3 linked regions of the Oryctolagus cuniculus genome follow. The protein of the gene in region 2 interacts with the protein of the main gene of each other region in a biochemical or structural test. Links are inferred from orthologs where the notes say so. Each region holds a gene or a part of one and is shown on either strand. Other genes may lie near its edges.

Evidence for each region.
Region 1: the proteins of SHANK1 (region 2) and WWTR1 interact in a test that uses a peptide from one of them, tested with the Homo sapiens proteins (2 studies listed by IntAct, with this or other methods). The link is inferred for Oryctolagus cuniculus from reciprocal best matches to the Homo sapiens genes SHANK1 and WWTR1.
Region 3: the proteins of SHANK1 (region 2) and CACNA1D interact in a biophysical measurement, tested with the Homo sapiens proteins (2 studies listed by IntAct, with this or other methods). The link is inferred for Oryctolagus cuniculus from reciprocal best matches to the Homo sapiens genes SHANK1 and CACNA1D.

What each region holds. Positions count from the first base shown.
Region 1 is NC_091435.1:131,815,603-131,820,067, reverse strand, and holds the start of WWTR1 (WW domain-containing transcription regulator protein 1), read right to left. Parts: upstream 3,004-4,465; 5' UTR 2,742-3,003; intron 2,663-2,741; exon of another isoform or gene 2,645-2,662; intron 2,362-2,644; 5' UTR 2,312-2,361; coding exon 1,881-2,311; intron 1-1,880. UniProt on the Homo sapiens protein: Transcriptional coactivator which acts as a downstream regulatory target in the Hippo signaling pathway that plays a pivotal role in organ size control and tumor suppression by restricting proliferation and promoting apoptosis.
Region 2 is NC_091449.1:7,307,123-7,311,074, forward strand, and holds part of SHANK1 (SH3 and multiple ankyrin repeat domains protein 1), read left to right. Parts: intron 1-44; coding exon 45-3,159; intron 3,160-3,896; coding exon of another isoform or gene 3,897-3,942; exon of another isoform or gene 3,943-3,952. UniProt on the Homo sapiens protein: Seems to be an adapter protein in the postsynaptic density (PSD) of excitatory synapses that interconnects receptors of the postsynaptic membrane including NMDA-type and metabotropic glutamate receptors via complexes with GKAP/PSD-95 and Homer, respectively, and the actin-based cytoskeleton.
Region 3 is NC_091441.1:96,322,025-96,326,530, forward strand, and holds the start of CACNA1D (voltage-dependent L-type calcium channel subunit alpha-1D), read right to left. Parts: upstream 3,004-4,506; 5' UTR 2,511-3,003; coding exon 2,444-2,510; intron 596-2,443; coding exon 286-595; intron 1-285. UniProt on the Homo sapiens protein: Voltage-sensitive calcium channels (VSCC) mediate the entry of calcium ions into excitable cells and are also involved in a variety of calcium-dependent processes, including muscle contraction, hormone or neurotransmitter release, gene expression, cell motility, cell division and cell death.

The sequences.
Region 1 (4,465 bases), on a different chromosome or scaffold from region 2:
CCCCTGCTCTGGGTTAGGGAGTGGCTATGGTTGGGGGGGGGGGGGGGACAGCAGCAATTTACTCCAAACCCAAGACTTAACTTCCATTTTTGCCCTAATTCACAAGAAGTTCTGAGCTACTCCAATCGTTCAAAACACATTATAAAATTAATTTTTTGCTTTTGTTTAGGGATCTTTTTCATTTACTTAGGCAAGCGCAACTCTTATTTCATATTCCTAATAATCAGTTACACTGAACACATACCTTGTATGTGTGTTCATAAACAGATGGAAAACTATTTTTTTAATTCTTTTTGATTTTGGAAAACTATTTGAGACCAAAAAGAACCCCCCGAAATTATAGAGTCTGCTTCTATCTATATTTATTATTCTTCCATTTCTATAAAAGTCACAATAAAATAAGCAAAACTGCATTTGCCTGGGCAAAAGTAACACAGGCCGCTAGCTGCTTTGGATTAGGACAGCCTATAGGAATCAGTGTCATTGTTGGGAACAATATCAGATTTAGAAAAATGTCATGTCTTGACATCACCTACCAGACTTCCATTAGCCATGCAGAAGTCAAAGCACTGAGCTCCTTGTCCACATGACTGTTCAACCCCAGGAAGACCAGCTTTGGAATAAATAAACGGCCATCAAGTCTGTTTCTGGATCTCAGCACCGCACCAACCCCAGAAACAAAAATGAACTCCTCCTTGCATAAGCTGTCAAACAGCTTTTGGAGGGGAAGGAACAAAAATTGGTCACCAGTCTGAGCCCCAGAGTTGGCTGTAATAAACCTCACCCATCTGCGTGTGTGCATGCATAGAGTTCTCTCATGGCAATCAAAGTGCCCCATATGAGTGCCAAAGAAGGACTTGAATAATATTTTTTAAGTGGGCCATCATGTTTTAGAACAACTTTTGAACGAAAGCTCTTCCACCAAAGGAACACAGGCGTTTAAATGAACTGTAAGGCAAGTTCCTGGAAGAGGAGTTTTTCTCACTGGCAGAGAGTGCAATCAAGTGCAGGCAATCCTGAACCAAGTGGCCCAGCTGGCACCATTTCCACCCAGGCCTTTGCTAGCCTGACCCTCCATGACCTCACTAGCTACATTTCAAGTTCCAACTTGGTTTCTCCTCAGGAATGTAATTATCGTAGGGTACCACAACGGAAACAATAACCTCCAGTGTTTGAGAATGTATTTTCCTGTAGGCTCTAATTAGAAAACTCGAACCTAACTTCCAACCCATTGTAACAGAAGGCTGGAACAAGGCTAAGGGCAGAAGCAGCAGGCTGCCGATGTGATGGTATTTTAGGTGACCCAGCGCAACCTCATAAAACTCCTGACCCAATTTCCACACAATTGATTAGGCCAGCCCACGGGGACTTCACCCCAGTTGCTAATTACATCACTGTGCTGTGTGGTCATTACGTCACCCTGATGGGTGCTGCACCCGGCTGCTCCCTTTCCCAGCTTGCTCCCCCTAGAAGCCAACGGCCCCTCCCGCCCTGAGCCTCCCAGCCTCTCTCTCACAGGATCCCCCTCCGTCCCGCAAGGCGCGAAGGCTCTGTGCTAGGGGGAACCTGTTTCAGTCCTCCAGATTCAGGGCGAAGTACAGACGTGTCCCGTGAGCATTTCCCCGCCACAATTTTGTTTTCTCCTTGGTTCTTCCAGAACGCCAATGAACCTTACCAGATTCTGCTCTGCCCCTGGTCCCTTACAAGTATGTCCACACCCAGACAGTCCATACATCCAGCCTTCGGGATTCGGGGGCTGGGAGGGGGCAAGATCCGTGGGAGGACACGCACCATCTCACACTCACACACGCACACACGACAAAGCGCGCGGGCCCTGAGGACGCGGGGATTCTGTGCCCCTCGGCTCCGGGTCGACTTACTTGAGGAAGTACTTCTGGCCAGTGGCCGTGTAGGCCATCTCCCAGCCCGGGGGCAGCGGCGGCTCGTCGGTCAGGTCGTAGGAGCGCTGGCAGAGGTGTACGTGCTGCTGCGCGGGACTGCCCGCGGCGCCCGCGCCGGTGCCCAGCTGCAGGGACGCGGGCGACGAGTGTGAGCGGACGTGCTGGGCGCCGCCGGCCAGCCGGGGCCCCGGGTGGCCGCCCGACGAGTCGGTGCTGGACTGGCGCGAGTGCGAGCCCGAATCCGGCTCCTTGAAGAAGGACTCGGGCAGGATCTTCTTCCGCCACGAGCTGGGCTTGGGGTTCATGACAGAGTTGAAGAGGGCTTTGAGGTCCGTGTCGAGGTCCTGCGTGACGTGGATCACTTGCTGCCCGGGCGGCGGGAGCGGAGGGGGCGCCGAGGCCGGATTCATCTTCTGCAGGGAGAAGGGAGGTCAGTCTCTTATCGGAGTTGGAGGACGGGCTGGGAGGAAGAGAAGGGAGAGGACGGGTCGGTGTCGGCCTCGGGATACCAGCCGCTCGGCCGGGTGGGGGAGGGGTCCCTCCTGACCTCGGGAATTATGCAACTTTCTTGAAGCAAAGAAGTTACCGGGAATAGGAGAAGGAAGGGCGGGGTGGGATTCAGGGTGGGGATGGCGGACGTTGCTGCACTGCTGGTGGCAGAGGATAGGGCGCAGCTTTCCGCGGCCGGCAGCCTCTGCAGCCCACCTCCCCCACCGCCCCCGCCCGCCCCCGGGAAGTCTCACCCCGAGCCAACCCCACGCCAGCCCGACTCCGGAAGGCAGAAGAGCCCGGCGCCCTGGACCCGTGCCGGGCAAGCGGGCGCGTTCCAGCGGGCACTACCTGGGCGCGCAGCGAAGCCGAGCCCGAGTGCGCGGCGGCCGCCGTCCCGCCCGAACTTGCCGTCTGGCCTCGGTCGCCCGGCTGCGTCCCGCGCGTGCGGAGCTGGAGCCGGGGCCCGACTGGCAGAAACCGAGCCGACTCGGTGCCTGGCAGCCCAGGGGCTTCGGCTCTCACATCCCCCGAGCTGGCCTCAGGCGCTTGCTCTCGGCGAGAAGGAGGCGGAGGAGACGCCGACAGCGCGGCCGCAGCAGCTCCGGGACTGTCCCATAAACAAAGTTTGGAGCAAACTCCCACCCCCAGGAAAGAGGCGGGCCCGAAAGTTGAGCTGTTGAATTATGCATGACCTGCAGGTCCTGAGCCTGCCTGCCTGCCCCCGCTCGCCCCTCCTCTTCCTCCTCCTCCCACCCCCGGCTCCAGAAACCCCTGGGCGTGTTGAGTACTTCACAGGGTAAGAGGAGACGGGTGCCCCCCACCCACTCCTCCCGGCCCGCGCGGACCTCTCCCGCGGAGCTCCGGATCTGCATTCCTTTTAGTTTACCACCGACTTGGGGCGGGATCAAAGGGAAAGTGGCCCGAACCTGTTTAATCAAGGGGTTGTGGACCGAAACCCAGGCTGGGGGTGGCGGAGGGCAGGCGGGTGAGGGGCCCAGGCTGGGGAAGGGCCGGTCCAGGGCGCTGCGCCTTCTCCTGGAGCCCGGCGCCCAGGCCTGCAGAGCACCCGCAGCGCCGCGCTGACCCACGATGCTGCCCGAGGGCGGGCCGGGGTACGCCCCGGCGCGGGGAGACTCCAACAAGGCCAGCCTTTCCCCGGGAGGCTGCTTAGCGCTTGTGACCATATTTGGTCTGGCGAGGAGGCATTTTGGCCGCTCGACTTTCGATTGTCTACTAAAGAGCGCGGACGGTGCCCCATAGAGTGCTGCTGTCGCTGGAGATGCGGCTTCGCCCACGGGTGGGGTGTAAACAAACAGCCTCCAAACCATTCACCAACCCTTGGTTGCCTCGATGGCTTGGCCCGGGCCGCTAGGGGCCGAGAAGAAAGCGGGTCAAAGCTGGGAGCTGCGAGGCGAGAGCAGTTGCGCCCCCCCCCCCCCCGTGACATCCGCGCGGTAGTGGGAGGATTGGAATGTCCTTGACGCCCTCCAGGGAGCCAGGTCCCGGCATGGAACCCGAGCAGGTGGCTGCGAGCAGAGAGGGGGTGCCGGTGACCCGGAAAAAGCCACCCACCCTCCCACCGACGGATCTGCGCGAAGGCTGAAGACCCCCTGCCCTTAGCCAGGGGAAGAAGGTCAAACCTGGCAGACAGCTGCGGGAAGTGGGAGGCGGTCGTGCCCTCCGGAGCGGCTTAATTCCTCCGCTCCCTCCTGCCCTTCTCCGTTGCGGAAAAACGGGAGGATGGCCGGGAGGTAGATTCCAGAAAGCCCCCACACCACCCTGTTGATTCAGATTGAAGTTTATTAAATAAATCAAATGAGGCAATATTTGTAAAACACCGCACAGCAGAGGGCAGGCTACCAAAGTGTTTGCTAAATTAAAATGTATTACATGCAGACATTGTACATCAACATTTTTATAAGGGTGAAATAAAGGGGGTCAGCGCTGTGGCATAGTAGGCTAAGCTTCCGCCTGCAGCGCGGTTCCAGTCCCGGCTGCTCTACTTCCAATCCAGCTCTCTGCTCTGGCCTGGGACAGCATTAGATGGCCCAAGTCCCTGGGAGACCCAGAAA
Region 2 (3,952 bases):
CACCGCCCTCCATCTCGTGTCTCTCCCCCTACCCCCACCCCCAGGGGCCGCAGAAGACGAGAGACCCTACCTGGCACCCCCGGCCATGAAGTTCAGCCGCAGCCTGTCCGTGCCCGGGTCCGAGGACATCCCCCCGCCGCCCACCACGTCCCCCCCCGAGCCCCCCTACAGCACCCCGCCCGCCCCCTCCTCCTCGGGCCGCCTCACCCCCTCCCCGCGGGGAGGCCCCTTCAACCCCGGCTCGGGCGGCCCCCTCCCAGCCTCTTCCCCGGCGTCCTTCGACGGACCCTCGCCTCCGGACGGCCGCGCGGGGGCCCGAGACAAGAGCCTGTACCACGGCGGGCCCCTGCCGCCCGCGCACCACCTGCCACCGCACCACCACCACCACCACGCGCCGCCCCCGCAGTCCCACCACCACCACGCCCACCCTCCGCACCCGCCGGAGATGGAGACCGGCGGCTCCCCCGACGACCCCCCGCCCCGCCTGGCCCTGGGGCCGCAGCCCAGCCTACGCGGCTGGCGGGGCGGCGGGCCCAGCCCGACGCCGGGGGCCGCGTCGCCGTCCCACCACGGCGGCGGCGGCGGCAGCGGGGCTGCGGGCGGCGGCGGGGGCTCCCCGCAGGCGCCGGCCCTGCGCTACTTCCAGCTGCCCCCGCGGGCGGCCAGCGCGGCCATGTACGTGCCGGCGCGCTCGGGCCGCGGCCGCAAGGGCCCGCTCGTCAAGCAGACGAAGGTGGAGGGCGAGCCGCAGAAGGGCGGCCTCCCGCCCGCCGCGTCGCCCGCGTCCCCGCAGCCGCCGCCCGCCGCGGCCGCGCCGTCGGAGAAGAGTTCCATCCCCATCCCCACCATCATCATCAAGGCGCCGTCCACCAGCAGCAGCGGCCGCAGCAGCCAGGGCAGCAGCACCGAGGCCGAGCCCCCGACGCAGCCCGAGGCCGCGGGCGGCGGCTCCGCGCCCAGCCCCGCGCCGGCCGCGTCGCCGGTGCCGCCGCCGCCGTCGCCCGCGCCCGCGCCCGCCTCGCCCAGCGGCCCGGCCACCCTGGACTTCACCAGCCAGTTCGGCGCGGCGCTGGTGGGCGCGGCGCGCAGAGACGGCGGCTGGCAGAACGAAGCCCGCCGGCGGTCCACGCTCTTCCTGTCCACCGACGCGGGCGACGACGAGGGCGGCGACGGCGGCGGGCTGGGCGCGGGCGCGCCCCCGGGGCCCCGCCTGCGCCACTCCAAGTCCATCGACGAGGGCATGTTCTCGGCCGAGCCCTACCTCCGGCTGGAGTCGGCGGGCGCGGGCGGCGGCGCGGGAGGCTACGCGGGCTACGGGGCCGGCAGCCGCGCCTACGGGGGCGGCGCGGGCGGCGGCAGCAGCGCGTTCACCAGCTTCCTGCCCCCGCGGCCCCTGGTCCACCCGCTCACCGGCAAGGCCCTGGACCCAGCCTCGCCTCTCGGGCTGGCCCTGGCCGCGCGCGAGCGGGCGCTGAAGGAGTCCTCGGAGGCCGGCGGCGGCGCCCCGCAGCCCCCTCCCAGGCCCCCGTCGCCCCGTTACGAGGCCCCGCCGCCCACCCCGCACCACCACTCGCCCCACGCCCACCACGAGCCGGTGCTGCGGCTCTGGGGGGCCCCGCCGCCCGACCCTGCCCGCCGCGAGCTGGGGTACCGGGCGGGGCTGGGCGGCCCGGAGAAGTCCCTGCCGGCCAGCCCGCCCGCGGCCCGGCGCTCCCTGCTGCACCGTCTGCCGCCTGCCGCTCCCGGGGTCGGGCCCCTCCTGCTGCAGCTGGGGCCCGAGCCCCCGGCGCCGCACCCCGCCGTCAGCAAGGCCTGGCGGTCCGCGGCCGCCGACGAGCCCGAGCGGCTGCCCCTGCACGTGCGGTTCCTGGAGAACTGCCAGCCCCGCGCGCCCGCCCGGCCGCCGTCGGAGGACGGGCCGGGGGTCCCGCCGCTCAGCCCGCGCCGCTCCGTGCCCGCCTCGCCCACGTCCCCGCGGGCCAGCGAGGAGAACGGGCTGCCGCTGCTCGTGCTGCCGCCGCCCGCGCCGTCGGTGGACGTGGAGGACGGCGAGTTCCTGTTCGTGGAGCCGCTGCCCCCGCCCCTGGAGTTCTCCAACAGCTTTGAGAAGCCCGAGTCGCCCCTCACACCTGGGCCCCCGCTCCCGCTGCCCGACCCGCCCGCCCCGGCCGCGCCCCTGCCCCCCGCGCCGCCCCCCGCCGCCGCCACCGCCGCCGCCGCGCCCGCCCCGCCCGCCCTGGACTCCACCGCGTCCAGCCTGACGTCCTACGACAGTGAAGTGGCCACGCTGACCCAGGGGGCCCCCGCCGCTCCCGGGGACCCCCCTCCGCCGGGCCCGCCCGCGCCTGCGCCGCCCGCGCCGCCCGCCCCGCAGCCCGGCCCGGACCCCCCGCCCGGCACGGATTCGGGCATTGAGGAAGTGGACAGTCGAAGCAGCAGCGACCACCCGTTGGAGACCATCAGCAGCGCGTCCACGCTGAGCAGCCTGTCGGCGGAAGGGGGCGGCAGCGCCGGCGGCGGCGGAGGCGGCGGCAGCGCGGCTGTGGCCAGTGGGCCGGAGCTTCTGGACACCTACGTGGCCTACCTGGACGGCCAGGCCTTCGGGGGAGGCAGCACCCCTGGCCCACCGTACCCCCCGCAGCTCATGACTCCTTCCAAGCTGCGGGGCCGGGCCCTGGGGGCCGGCGGAGGCCTACGGCCTGGTCCCACTGGGGCACTTCGAGACCCTGTCACCCCCACCAGCCCCACCGTGTCGGTGGCAGGGGCTGGCGCCGACGGGCTGCTGGCCCTGACCGGCTGCTCAGGACCCTCCGCGGCGGGCGTGGCCGGCGGTCCCGTGGCCGTGGAGCCGGAGGTGCCGCCGGTGCCCTTGCCGGCTGCCTCCTCCCTACCCCGGAAGCTGCTACCCTGGGAGGAGGGCCCGGGCCCCCCGCCGCCGCCCCTGCCGGGGCCCCTGGCCCAGCCGCAGGCCTCCGCCTTGGCCACCGTGAAAGCCAGCATCATCAGCGAACTCAGCTCCAAGCTCCAGCAGTTCGGAGGCGCCTCGACGGCCGGCGGCGCTCTGCCCTGGGCGCGCGGAGGCAGCGGGGGAGGCGGGGACGGCCACCACGCGGGAGCCAGCTACGTCCCCGAGAGAACGTCTTCCCTGCAGCGGCAGAGGTGAGCGCGCGCGGGCGGCCATCGCGGGGAACGGGGTTCAGCAGGAGCGCCCCCAACTGCGCGCCCCCTTTCTGGACCTTGGAATCTGAGGGGGAGGAGCCGATGGGCGCGCCTGTTAGGGCCCACAGAGCAGGGGAAGAGGTGTTGCTTTTTCCCCCACCTCTTTGTGCATCGCTAGAGTTCACCTTAATTCTGAGAGATGCGGGGTCTGGGGGCCTTGGAGGTCTTGGCTTAGCTTTGCTAAACACCCTGAACTATTCTGGCGGAGCCCAAGAAGCCGAAGTGATTCGTGTATCCCCTGCTCTGGGGTGAGGGAGGCCGCACGCACGGCGCAGCCGCCACGGAGCCTCCCCGCCTGGCCGGCGAGGGGTTAAGGACCCACAGCAACCATCCCGGGGGGGTGGGGAGTATGCCATGCCGTTAGCGGTCGGTCAGAGGTCTCTCGCGGTACTGGGTGAGCAGAGGAGTGGAGGTAGGCGGCCAGCAGAGCAGCCGGGCAGAGGGACAGCCGGTGCAAAGGCCCTGAGGTGGGCCCGTGCTGGAGAGAGCTAAAGGGATGAGGGGAACATTTTCCTCCCCTTGTTTCTTCTCTCTTTCATCTCCCTCTCTTCATCTCTCTCTCTCTCTCTCTGTCCCCTACCCCCTTCCATCTCTCTCCCCCTGGACACACACCCTCTTTGTTCCTCTCTCACTGTCTCCCCGTCTTCCACCCCGCTACCACGGCCGTAACCCCAAAGGCAGTATAGAGTAGTGGTTAAGAGCTCAGACCTCGGTGCCATATGACCCGGGCTCT
Region 3 (4,506 bases), on a different chromosome or scaffold from region 2:
CAATCACTTTGAAATTTCAGGCTCACTCCCCCCACTACTACCATTACGCACAAGCATACACACACACACACAGGAGACCCACAGACTCACCCTCTGCAACCTGAGGAGTCAGGAAAGTATAAACAGCAAAACCCCTTACCCACAGCTTTCGTCTGTGGCTCTCACATTCCACAATGCTACAGCTTTGTGTCATTTCAGAAAGCAAATCTTTTTAAAGAACAGATGGTAAAAGAGAAAACCAGGAAGGTTCTTCCTCCCCCACCCCCTACCCCAGGAAAAGGATACTTCCATTCCACTATACTAATGCAGGCTCTCCGGATGGGGTTATTGAGAGACAGACAGAAAAGGGCGCGGGCGGGCCGGCTGTTGGACGAGCTCCCCTGTTTTTTGCTCTTGGCGTATTGCTGACGTTTTCTTTGGGAGAGAGATCCTACAGGTGGGGGTGCAGAGGTGCTCATGGTTTGGGCAGCCTTGGCCTGTCGAGCAGCGTCGATAGCAGCCTGCCAAGACAGGACAGTTTGCTTGGAGCTGTTCGGCTGAGAAGTTGGTCCTTCCCCAGAAAGAGGGAGTCTGGTGCCTCTTGCATAGTTTGCCTCTGGGGAAAAGGAGAAAAACAAAGATTTTTTTTAAAAAGATGAGATTCTAGTGTGTGAGGTGAAGCAAGCTTATCACCCAGCAATCCCAGGGCGGGGTGGGGGGTGTTCATGCCTATGTGTCCACGGTGAGCCTCTTGTTCTGATCAGGCAGAAAAATCCACGCACGGCGCCCCAGTGTCAATCCACGGGAACCTGCTGCACCACGCCCATTCTCTACCAGGAGTTTTGCTGCGCATTCCTTCTGAGAAGCCGAGGTCATCCCTCACTGACTCCACATCTCTTCTGACTTTGAAAACCCGTGCGTCGCTAATGAGTTAAAAGACATGTACAACCGCTTTTCCTAAATAATCACCACCATTACCGGGGGGGGGGGGGGGCCGGAGGCAGTGCCAATAATTCGATAGTCTTAATCATTTCCAGGGTGTTACTCCAACATCTTTCCACAATACGATTTTTTTTCAGCATGGAAAAAAAAAACCATCCACTAGCACAGGGGCAGCACCAAAAGCCCATAACAAATATCTAGATTATGCACTGACACTTCCTGCAAATGAAAATTCATGATGCTTGGGACTCATTTCCTCCACAGGCTTCCGAAAACAGAAAACATCTTTAGGGCTTTTTTGCATTTTAAATTGCAGCAGCAGCAGCCAAGGCAGCATCCAGGGAGACAGAGAAGGCGGTTGGCCAGCACCCCTAGCACCCCAACACACCTAGGATACACAGGCAGGAAGGTGCGGGGGGCCTGGAGGCCTAGGCAGGAACCACCTCAGTGGAAGCCAGCATCCAGGTACACACGAGGCAGAAACCCAAGGGGGCCTCCCAGTGCAAAGCCCCCTCTGGCTTTGGGTCGGGCCAGCCCCAGGGCAGCCCTCCCAGGCACCTGCCGGCCTCGGACCACATCCTCCTCACTAAGGCAGAGGTCAGAGAGAATCTGCAGCGAGGCTGAGGGACCGGCATTTGCACAAGAAACGACTGCTAAGTCAAGAGTCAAAAGCAAGCACCGGTCTGCCTGCCCAGCAAGCCCGAGGAGGGAGCAGAGCGGTCAGGCAGCAGCCAATCTGGGCCGGGATGAGCCCTGCCAAGCCTTTCCCTCGGGGTGCGCTCACCCGGAAAGGCTTGAACCGGGGCTGGGGGGCGCCGGCAGTCTCCAAAGAGGGGGACTGTCCAGGCACTGCCCCAGCCCCAGTCGACCCAGCCGCGGCCGGCGTAGAAAGCGCACGTGGCGGCCGGGCCCGGGCCGCGACTCCCGGGCATCGCTAGGTTACCGCCGAGCGCGTCGCGGGCAGGGACATGCACTCCGCCGGGCCCCTTCCCTTGGGTCGCGGGACCCGGCCTCCCGCGTCGGGCCGGAGAGGGGTGCGCTTCACCCACCAGCGCCTAGGGTGACACCGGACAATCCTAGAATTTTCCGGATGCCACCAGGGGACCTTCTTCCTAAAGGGGGAGGGGGCGGGGGAGGAGAGGAAGGCCAGGAGCGACCGGGAAGGGGGCTCCGGCCAGACCCCAGCAGCCCCCTCCTCTGCTGCCTGGCCCGGGGGCGTTGAGGCAAAGTTGAGCCCGAGGACTCGGAACCTGCAGCGTCTCGGGCCGCTCAGCGCTCCACGGCCGCCCCCACCCCACAAATGCAGAATTAACTCTGACATTCAGGGCCTCAAGGGGAGAGCGGAGTGGCTGCAGCGCATCTCCCCTCCGCCGGCGGACGGCACCGAGCTGGGAGCGTCCTCGCCACCCCCCTCCACGCAGCCGGCGCGGCGGAGCCGCGGGGGGCGGGGGCGGGCAGGGGTGGGCACAGGGCCGCGGCGGGGACCGGATCCGGCCGCGGGCGCCAAGGCTTAGCTGCTCACCGTTCGCGTGGTCCGCTTGCTGCTGCCGTTGATGCTGCATTTTCTTCATCATCATCATCATCATCATCCACGAACATTGATTGAGCGCCTACTGTGTGCAGGGCACTGTGCTGGGCGCCCGGGCTGGGGACGCACAGGGAAGGGGGTTCCCGAGCACGCAGAAGACGCGGTCCCTGCCCTTATTCTCGCTCCGGCAGGGGGTGGGGAGCGCCGGGGACAAATAACAGAAAATACGGATAATTTATAAAAACCGCTCGCCACCCACGCTCCCTCTTTTTCAAAAATGGAGCAAAATAAACTTTTTAAAAAAATAAAATCAGATGTATATATTATCTCAATAATATATACATGGAATTTTCTTTTTTTTTTTTTTTTCCTTTTTTTTTTCTTTGCTGCAAAGGAGAATTGGCTTGGTCCGCTCCACTAGCGGAGGGGCGCCGCGGGGATGCCGGCCCGGCCGCCGGGGCCGCTCGGGGCGCCCCCCATGCCGCCTGCCGCCGCCGCCCGCCGCCCGCGCCGCCGCTGGCTCGGGACCACGGGCAGCCCGAGCTCACATCCGGGGACGGAGGCGCTCGCCCGCCCGCCCGCTCGCTCCGCGCCCGCCGCGCCGCGCCGCACGCCGGCTTCGCCCTGGCGACGCTGCGCGCCCGCCGCCGCCGTCCCCCGCGCTCCCCCCGCCCGCCCGAGCCTCCCACGGGCCGCGCCGCGCCGCACCCCGGAGACCGCCCGCGGCCCGGGGCCCTGTGCGCTCGGCGTGGCCGCCGCGTGGGATCCGGGTGCAGCCCGCACGGACTGGCCCGGCGAACCCGCGGGCTCCAGGGGGTTAAGCGCGCTCCTGCCGCGGGCCGCGGGGTTAACCCCCTCCGCGCCGCAGGGTGTGCTTGCTGGGCTCCCGGGGAACAGGCGGGCGGCGCCTGTGCATCCCGCGGCGGCGGAGCGCGGATTAACCGCTCCTCCCCCTGCATTTCTGGAAGGAGGGGGTTGCGGGCAGTGGAGGCGGGGCGGGGGGCGTAAGCTCCAGAGCCCGTACTGGGCTCTCCTCGTGGTACTCCGGGTCGGCACACCTGGAGGAGGCCCCGCCCCCTGGGAGCACAGGTGCGAGCCGGAGGCAGTGACTGCGCTGCCGAAGCGCACCCTGCGGGGGCCCTGCTCAGGTCCCTCGCGCCTCCAGAGCCTGGCAGGCGCACTCTCCCGCTGGGGGGATGGGAGCCTGCTCTCCAGAGAGCGCTCGCTGCCCCAGGTAACCGCGTCTCTCTCCCACCGGTTCTACAGAGCGCCCCCTCCTCCCTCCCACCGCACCCTGGCGCCGCCTTAGCCGAAGGGCGGGGTAGGGGGGGGCGAGCTGTGCCCTCCTCCCCTCCCCTCTCCTCCCCCACCGCGAATGTGCGGAGGCAGCGACGGGGGAGTCGGCGCCAGGGTCTGCGGGTTTGCTATCGCAGCCGGTCGCTGAGCCCCGCGCTCTGCTTTGTGACAGCTTCGCCGTCGCGTCCTCTGGGCACGGAGAGGCCCGCCGACGGCAGCTCCTGTCTGGAGGGGAGAACGGTGTCATCCGCTGGATGACTGATAGTTTTCATTTCGGGTCCGTGCCGGCTGTCGGAGAAGGGTATCTGCCTTGTTGCTTCCCGGGACGCGGTTTATTTGCTTTTGTTCCGATCTGCGTGTTCCCACCGCGTTTCAGAACGTTTGAGAACTGCGCGGATTAGCGTTTATGGGAAGGCGCTCCTTGCTCAAAGAAGACACACTGGGCATCCTGGGGGGAGGGGGGAGGCAGGGGTGACTGCGAAGAACCAGGTTCTCTTGCTCCGTTTGGGGAAAGAAGAGAGCAGGGAATCAGCCCTGTGGCCTAACGGTAAGGTAACCATGGCCCAGGCCGGTCGCCTAGAGCTGTTTCCCAGCCAGGATCTAAGGCGAGAGAAGACAGCTCCCTTCCCAGAGCCACCCCGCCGTGAAACAAGCGCACAGCCACTTTCAGGTCTCCCGGTCAGAAGCCCTGCCTCTCCAGCCCTTTTCTGCAAAGTCCACTCTTACTGTTTGTTCAGAATTCCACCCCTACTCCACCCTGT